2 linked regions of the Mus musculus genome follow. The protein of the gene in region 1 interacts with the protein of each later gene in a pairwise test. Links are inferred from orthologs where the notes say so. Each region holds a gene or a part of one and is shown in the gene's direction. Other genes may lie near its edges. The genes, in order: Plaa and Ubxn1.

The links.
Region 2: the proteins of Plaa (region 1) and Ubxn1 interact in binary tests that used the Homo sapiens proteins (3 or more experiments, as listed by UniProt). The two-hybrid records come from large-scale screens. The link is inferred for Mus musculus from reciprocal best matches to the Homo sapiens genes PLAA and UBXN1.

Annotation. Positions count from the first base shown.
Region 1 is NC_000070.6:94,582,525-94,586,337, reverse strand, and holds part of Plaa (phospholipase A-2-activating protein), read left to right. Parts: coding exon 1-43; intron 44-2,335; coding exon 2,336-2,505; intron 2,506-2,766; coding exon 2,767-2,924; intron 2,925-3,637; coding exon 3,638-3,813. UniProt on the Homo sapiens protein: Plays a role in protein ubiquitination, sorting and degradation through its association with VCP. Involved in ubiquitin-mediated membrane proteins trafficking to late endosomes in an ESCRT-dependent manner, and hence plays a role in synaptic vesicle recycling.
Region 2 is NC_000085.6:8,870,401-8,874,654, forward strand, and holds the start of Ubxn1 (UBX domain-containing protein 1), read left to right. Parts: upstream 1-1,147; 5' UTR 1,148-1,297; coding exon 1,298-1,356; intron 1,357-1,458; coding exon 1,459-1,512; intron 1,513-1,607; coding exon 1,608-1,714; intron 1,715-1,817; coding exon 1,818-1,887; intron 1,888-3,113; coding exon 3,114-3,305; intron 3,306-3,394; coding exon 3,395-3,446; intron 3,447-3,738; coding exon 3,739-3,855; intron 3,856-4,254.

The DNA of each region.
Region 1 (3,813 bases):
GTTGCTGCGTACTGGAAAATGGTGACATTGTGGTTGGTGCGAGGTATTTATATTCTAGTCAGTCAATACATTTTCCGTGTCTAGGTGGTTGGTAGGTACTTAAGTATTGGAGGGTTGCTTGCACATTTTTGTTATCAAGTAAAACAGCAGTAATAAGAACTTTCCAAGTATTGATGCTTACTTTGTGGTATAGTATTATAAATTGTATAGTGAAAACACTGAATACCAAAGAAATTAGAAAAAATAGAGATCTCTATGGAAAAACTTTCTGGAGAAGTTAAATTGGATTTTCAAAGTTGAATAATGGAAATTAGAATTTCTGATAAATAATAATATAGTACGTTCCCTTTAGAAGTGAATGTTCTGTGTTTAGATTAGGGAAGTACTGGAGTAAGATTGGAGTATAGCTAAGATTCAAGCTAGGTCCTTTTTAGATTTGTTGCTTAGTGTTAAAGGATTGTAGCTCTTGACCAAGATGTGATCAGATTTAAGTGGGATATATAGCTTTTGCAGATTGAGTTCAACTAGAGGTAACACTGACCTTACAACACTAATGGATAAATGAATGAGAGAATAGGAGAAAAACAGGAAAAGGACAAAGCTTAAAACAATAGTTTGTGGTAATCTTCATTAATAAAAAATAGAAAAATGGGAGAATTAAGTTGGTCTTAGTGTCATAGAGAAGGTGATACTTTGACTTAAGACTTAACTGAAGCCAGGCAATGGTGGCGAACGCCTTTAATCCCAGCACTTGGGAGGCAGAGGCAGGTGGATTTCTGAGTTCGAGGCCAGCCTGATCTACCGAGTGAGTTCCTGGACAGCCAGGGCTACCCAGGGAAACCCTGTCTTGAAAAACCAAAAGAAAAAAGAAAAAAAGACTTATTGAATCTGAGTAGTATCTTGCCACACTGCCAGTGGGTCCTGAGTAGTCAGTTTGAATTCTAGTATAAGGATGATAATGAAGATTTACACAGAACTTTCTCTGAGTAAACAAGTGTAGAAGAGAGACGGAAGACTAGCCAGTGAATCTTGTGAAATACTCCGGATATAGAAAGGTCAGTAGGTTAAAACACACATATACAGGATTCTAGATGTCAGAATTCGAGGAGATGGAAGAGAGGCCTGAGGGAGCTTTCTGTCAGTGTCATAGAATGCTAAGTGGTCCGAGAATGGAAAGGTAGAAAAGCAATGGCTTCATTTTGAAAGATGGCACTGCCTGTTATTGCTGTTACATTTTAGTAGAAAATCTATAGCAAAATAAAGGAAATAAAGGAGTATTTGATCTAGGAAGAGATTGTAAACTAGACATTGGGAACAGAAGAGAAAGGTCACAGCTCTGAGTGCCGAAGTTTTGGTAGACCTCTTATTTATGGTTGTGGCAGGGATTCATTTGTCGACATAGGTATATTTCACATGAAGCTTGGTAACCATCAAAGAAATATGAGCCAACTGAGAAAGTGAACAGGATATTACAAAGTTAGGAAATAAAGTATTCTGTAGACTTCATTAGAATTAATGCAATTTAAACGAGCTAGCATGACTCCCTCACTTTAAAATCAGAATTGAGAAATGTAGTCATAAGACTAGAATATTTTCTTGGGGATATAGGTTGAGGACTATATTTAGGTAATCATGGAGCTATATTTTCCTTTGAGGATATTTGCACATATTGAACATAAGACTAGGTTGGGTCTTTGAACCAATTTTGTAAAGCAAACTGGCCCAATAACTCGTTTTTGTTGTTTTTTGATTGCTTGTTTTAGTTTTGTGTTTTCAAGATAGGGTCTTGCTGTGAAACTCAGGCTCATTGTATGTTCCCCAATGCCCAGCCAACTCTTTTTGATAGTATATGTTGACTATGTGGTAGTGATTTCAAAAAGTAAATGCCGTATTTCTAAATTATTGCAGTAAATACTTAATATAGAATTGAAAATTGTGCTGGACACAGTGACCCTGTAATGTCAGAGCTTCAGAGGCTGAGGTGGGGAAACAAGTTTAAGGCTGGCCATGGCTATGTTCTAGTTCCTGTCTCGGAAAAACCAAATGCTAGGAGACAACTCAGTGGGGGGCACAGGCTAATGGACACAAGGTTCTGATGTGTTTAGTCACTGGCAGTTATTTTAAAAAATTGAAAATTGTGTTTTAATGTGTTTCTCCTTTGCCAGCAACTTTTTTAAATAGCTGAAAAGTAATATATGTCATAGTCAGCTTACTTCTCCACAATGCATAGTGATATTTTTCATATTCATGCAGACAGGTAATTATTGCTTTATTCACATGAGAGAATGTTAATAAACTGTGGCAATGACTTAAAATGTGTCTGCTTTTCTTGTAGTGATGGTATTATTAGGGTGTTTACAGAGTCAGAGGAGCGGACAGCAAGTGCTGAGGAAATCAAAGCTTTTGAGAGAGAGCTCTCTCAGGCAACTATCGATTCCAAAACTGGTGACTTGGGGGATATTAATGCGGAGCAGCTTCCTGGGAGGGAACATCTCAGTGAGCCAGGTAACTATTTATTACAGTGAAATTGTAGCTAAGAATGCCACCACGTTGCCTTTGGGAATATCAGCAGTGCTAAGGGGGGTGGCGTTCCATGTGTTCTGAGTGCCAGGTACTGATACTTGAGGATTAGTCCTGTCACACATAACTGACAAGACAAGGTTTTCAAACTTGGAAGCATCCATAAAAACATGTTAAAATATGTCTAAGTGTTTTTGCATTTTACTCTTCTAGTCGACCTTTGACTCTTAAAATATTTGTTTTAAGGTACTAGAGAAGGACAGACTCGTCTAATCAGAGATGGAGAGAGAGTTGAAGCCTATCAGTGGAGTGTTAGTGACGGGAGGTGGATAAAAATTGGTGATGTTGTTGGCTCATCTGGTGCTAATCAGCAAACATCTGGAAAAGTTTTATATGAAGGGAAAGTATGTCAATTTCTGCTTTCTAATTATTATTTTAAACTATATACAAAATTAGAAGTTTTCTCTGCTGATAATTTTCTTTGGTATTTTGACATTTAAAAATAAATTGTAAAAAATTAATCTTTTATCTTAAAATAGATTTAAAATATATATCAAGATATATATATAATTAAAGCATTTTAAATGTCTGTATAAAATCTATGTGAAGGAAGCTACATGTGACAAATTAGCCATTATCTGTCTTTTAGAATTTCCCATACAAAACTGTTTCCAGCAATTTTTGGATTGGGAGTTTCTTCCATTTCATGCTTAATGCGTGTCTCTGCTAAACTTGGGAAGTCATGGGAGACACTGCAGGACTGTGCTTATAATGCCAGTATGTCATGGTTACTGGGGCACCCTAACAGCTGATCATTTTAACCATAAGATCAACCATTTGGGAATCATCTTTTGGACCTAGTATTAATAAGTAATTACAGTCCAGTCCCACCTCAGCCATCACCTGCCCCATTCGTAATGAAACAACTAATTTTGCAGCACATGCACACTTTGGTTCTTTATCTGCCAAAAAGAAAACTTTATCATTGCATTTTAGAGAAAAGTTTTAAATCTAAATGGTTAGAATAAAAAGACCGCATACCATCTATATTATGCTATATATATCTTCAACATATTCGAACAGGTAAATTATCTTTGATTTTCTGTTTCCATTACAGGAATTTGATTATGTTTTCTCAATCGATGTGAATGAAGGTGGACCATCGTATAAATTACCATATAATGTCAGTGACGATCCCTGGCTAGTTGCATACAACTTCTTGCAGAAAAATGATTTGAATCCCATGTTTCTGGATCAGGTGGCTAAATTTATTATTGATAACACAAAAGGTCA
Region 2 (4,254 bases), on another chromosome or scaffold:
AGGTGGATTTCTGAGTTCGAGGCCAGCCTCATCTACAAAGTGAGTTCCAGGACAGCCAGGGCTACACAGAGAAACCCTGTCTCGAAAAACCAAAAACGAAAAAAAAAAAAAAAAAAAAAAAAAAAAAAAAGATAGCTGGGCAAGATGTTTCTGGCCTTTGATCCCTGCACTCTGGATGGCAGAGGCAGACTGATATTTGAGTTTGAGATCAGTCTCTAAAGCCAGATCCATTTAGAAAGTTCCAGAACAGCCAAGGCTTCATAATGAGATCTTGTCTCAAAAAACAAAGACAGTGATAACAATGATGATGAACATAGACTCAAGCATGCTAGACCAAATCACCACTAGACCTACTCCCTAGACTCTGATAAATAACTTACTAATAATATATATAAGAGTTATTCTCCTCCCAACTTCTTTTACATACATCACCGATGGGTGTGGTGGCACACAACTTTAGTCCTGGCACTTGGAAGACTGAGGCAGGCAGATTTTTCTGAGTTTGAGGCCTGTCTGGTCTTGGTGCCAAAAGACAGAAAGAGAAGTAAAAGAGAAAACGGAAAATTAAAAAATGCAAGGAGGTGGTGGCGACACACTCTGATCCCAGTACTGCGCTCCGGAGGCAGAGGCAAGTGGATCTCATTGGATTGCAGGCCAGCCTGGTCTACAGCGCGAGTTCCAGGACAGCCAGGACTATGCAGAGAAATCCTGTCTCAAAACACCAAAAGGAAAGAAAGAGAGAGAAAGACAGAAAGAGAGGGAGAGAGAGATAAACTTTTACTGTTTATCATGAACGCCCCGACTCGTGTGCTTAGGTCAGAGGACAACTAACAGGAATCCTTTTTCCTCTGTGCTCAACCTCGTGGGTCTTAGGAATCGAACTCACATAATTAGGCTTGAAGGCAGGTGCTTTTACCCGCCGATCCATAGCCAGGCTCTCTTTTAGAATCCTAAAAGCCTGCAAACCGGCTCAAGCCTGTCTGGAGCTTCTTCCCCGTGGGTGGGTCTCCTTCCTGTCAGTTGTCCCTCCTCAAAGTCCCCGCCCACCAGGAAGGACATTTCTGGCTCTCTTCGGCACCCGTCCACCCTGCCTCCACGTGACACAAACAGACCGGGCACTTCCGCTTCCCCTCCGCTCTCCCCACTCACTGTCTACTCCCCCCTCGTCCCTGGGTCTCCCGCCCCGTGAGTTAGCGAGCGCCGGGAGGGCGGCGTCGCGGGCGGAGTCGCCCCGGGCTGACCCTTGCGGTCTTCCTTCTGGTCCCCGCAGGTCCCCGCGGAGGCGGAGGCGGGCGCCATGGCGGAGCTGACGGCTCTGGAGAGCCTCATCGAGATGGGCTTTCCCAGGGGACGCGCGTAAGGGAGCCTCCCCCTAGCCGGTGGTGGGAGGCCGCGGGCCTGGCCGGCCTGACTGTCACCATGGCTGGTGGGCGCTATTCACGGTGTTTCTGCCCCCAGGGAGAAGGCTCTGGCCCTCACAGGGAACCAGGGCATCGAGGCTGCGATGGATTGGTGAGCGGGCGACCCGCACGGGTGGCGGGAGTTTGGGAGCCGCTGGGCAAGGTGGCCTCCAGGCTAACCAACCCCTGCCTACTTTCTCCGCGCAGGCTGATGGAGCATGAAGACGACCCCGATGTGGATGAGCCTCTGGAGACTCCCCTCAGCCATGTCCTGGGACGAGAACCCACGCCCTCAGAGCAAGTTGGCCCTGAAGGTCCTGACTGGGAGACATCTTGTGATTCTAGAGACCTTGAAAGGGCCCCGAGAAAATCAGAATGATCTTATTCTAAATACTAATCCTGGTTGCTTGTTTGCAGGCTCTGGGTCTGCTGCTGGAGAAAGCAGACCCATTTTGACTGAAGAGGAGAGACAAGAACAGACCAAGAGGTGACTGGCAAGTTCAGTGTGTGTGTGTGTGTGTGTGTTTTGTTTGGAGTCTGCCTAACTCTTGCCCAGGCTGAACTCCGGATCCTCCTGCCTCCGCCTCCAGAGTGCTGAGATGTGGCCTTCACTGTGCCTTGCATTATTTTTTTGAGACGCAGTCCAGCTGTGTACCTCAGGCTGCGCTGGAACCCCGTATGCGGCCTAGGCTAAATTCGAAGCCACATTCTTCTAGTGCTGGGATTACAGGCCTGGGCCACCATAGCCCAGTGACACACTTTACCAAGGGTCATGGGTCATCTTCCTTCCTCTCAAATACAAACAAGTCTGATCATAGAACCTGACCTTTCCGGTTTTGAGGGTGTGCTGCAAGTCACCAGGAAACATCTCACATAGCTCAGGACTGGTCTCAAACTCCTGTGTGGCTGCAGATTCCCCTGAAATCCCAACTCTCTTGCCTCTCCTTTGCAAATGCAGGGATTATAGATATGCATCACTATGCCCTTTCTTTAAAAACAAAACCAACAACAACAATAAGAAAAACCCACGCTGGGCGTGGTGGTGCACGCCTTTAATCCCAGCACTCGGAGGCAGAGGCAGGCGGATTTCTGAGTTCGAGGCCAGCCTGGTCTACAAGGTGAGCTCCAGGACAGCCAGGGCTAAACAGAAAAACCAAAAAAAAAAAAAAAGAAAGAAAGAAAGAAAAACCCACAAGGGTCTATGCATGATATATTGTGCTCTACCTTTAAACTACACTTTTTTTTTTTTTTTTTTGGCTTTGTTCTGTTTTTTTTTTTTTCTTCAAGCCAAGAGTCTCTATCCCTGACTGTCCTGGAACTGGCTCTGTAGACCAGGCTGGCCTCAAACTTGAGATTTACCTGTCTCTGCCTTCTGAACACTGAGAATAAAGGCGTGCACTGCTACCACCTAGCTTGTCCTCTTTGGTTTTTCAAGATAGGGTTTCTTTGTATAGTCCTGGCTGTCCTGGAACTAACTCTGTAGACCAGGCTGGCCTCGAACTCAGAAATCTGCCTGCCTCTGCCTTCCAAGTGCTGGGATTAAAGGCGTGTGTCACCAGGTCTGGCCCTGCTTGTCCTCTTTATATTACTGTTTTGGTTTTGTTTCCTTTCCTCTGTCTTGGAGCCCGTATTCCCTTATTTTGTTAATTTCTCAGTCTAAACTCACCTTCCCACTCCATGTCCAACTTTACCTCTTTCTTCTCTGCAAAACAGAATGTTGGAACTTGTGGCACAAAAGCAGCGGGAACGTGAAGAAAGAGAGGAGCGAGAAGCTTTAGAACGAGAAAAGCAGCGGAGGAGACAAGGGCAAGAGCTGTCAGTTGCACGACAGAAACTGCAGGAAGATGAGATGCGCCGGGCTGCGGAGGAGCGCAGGAGGGAAAAGGCTGAAGAGTTAGCTGCCAGGTCTGAAGTCTCATTGGTCGCTAATTGGGAAAGAAATGAAGATTTGCCTTGTCCATGTCTGACCTATTTTCTTCCTGTCTCTATTCTAGACAAAGGGTTCGAGAAAAAATTGAAAGGGACAAAGCAGAGAGAGCCAAGAAGGTGGGTGATTAGAAAGTCTGGGTATAGTGGAGTATGTGGGTTAATTTCCTTAAAGTGTGCTTAGCATGATTTTTTTGAGGCAATTTTACTCTAGCCCAGACTAGTGTCAGACTCATAGTATTCTCCTGCGTCAGCCTTCCAAGTACTCTAACTAAAAGCTGTGAACTGCCAAACCTCTGTGTGTGTGTGTGTGTGTGTGTGTGTGTGTTTGGCCCATGTACTGGAGGGTGACCCTTTATACATGCTAGACTAGTGTGCTCCCTCTGAGGTAGTGTTCCATTTTGTCTTTCAGTATGGTGGTAGTGTGGGTTCTCGGTCATCCCCACCAGCAACAGACCCAGGTCCTGTTCCTTCTTCTCCCAGCCAGGAGCCCCCTACTAAGCGGGAGTATGACCAGTGTCGTATACAGGTACTGTTTTCAAGTGACCGTCTTGCTTCTGGAATCCCGTGTTGGCTTATAAAGTGCCAGACAGCCCAGAGCTGTTCACGCTTAAGTCCCCTTTGCCAAATCTCTCCCTTCTTTGTACATGACTTTTGAAATCCTATCTCCTCTACTCTTTGGAAAGATCAAATTTCACCTGCCCATCTTATTTAAATCCTTACTTCATCCTTACTAAGCAGTTTTAGATTCATTACACAGCTATTTTCATAATATGGTCCTCACAGTGACTTTTAAAAGTAATTCCATCTTGTCTTGTGAGGTATCGAATCCATTACCATCACCTGCTGCGGTGGAGCATGAGTGGTTGTTCATCGGGTCCTTTAAGTAGTATTTGTCCTGGTTCAGATGCTCCAAGGGAAGCAGAGC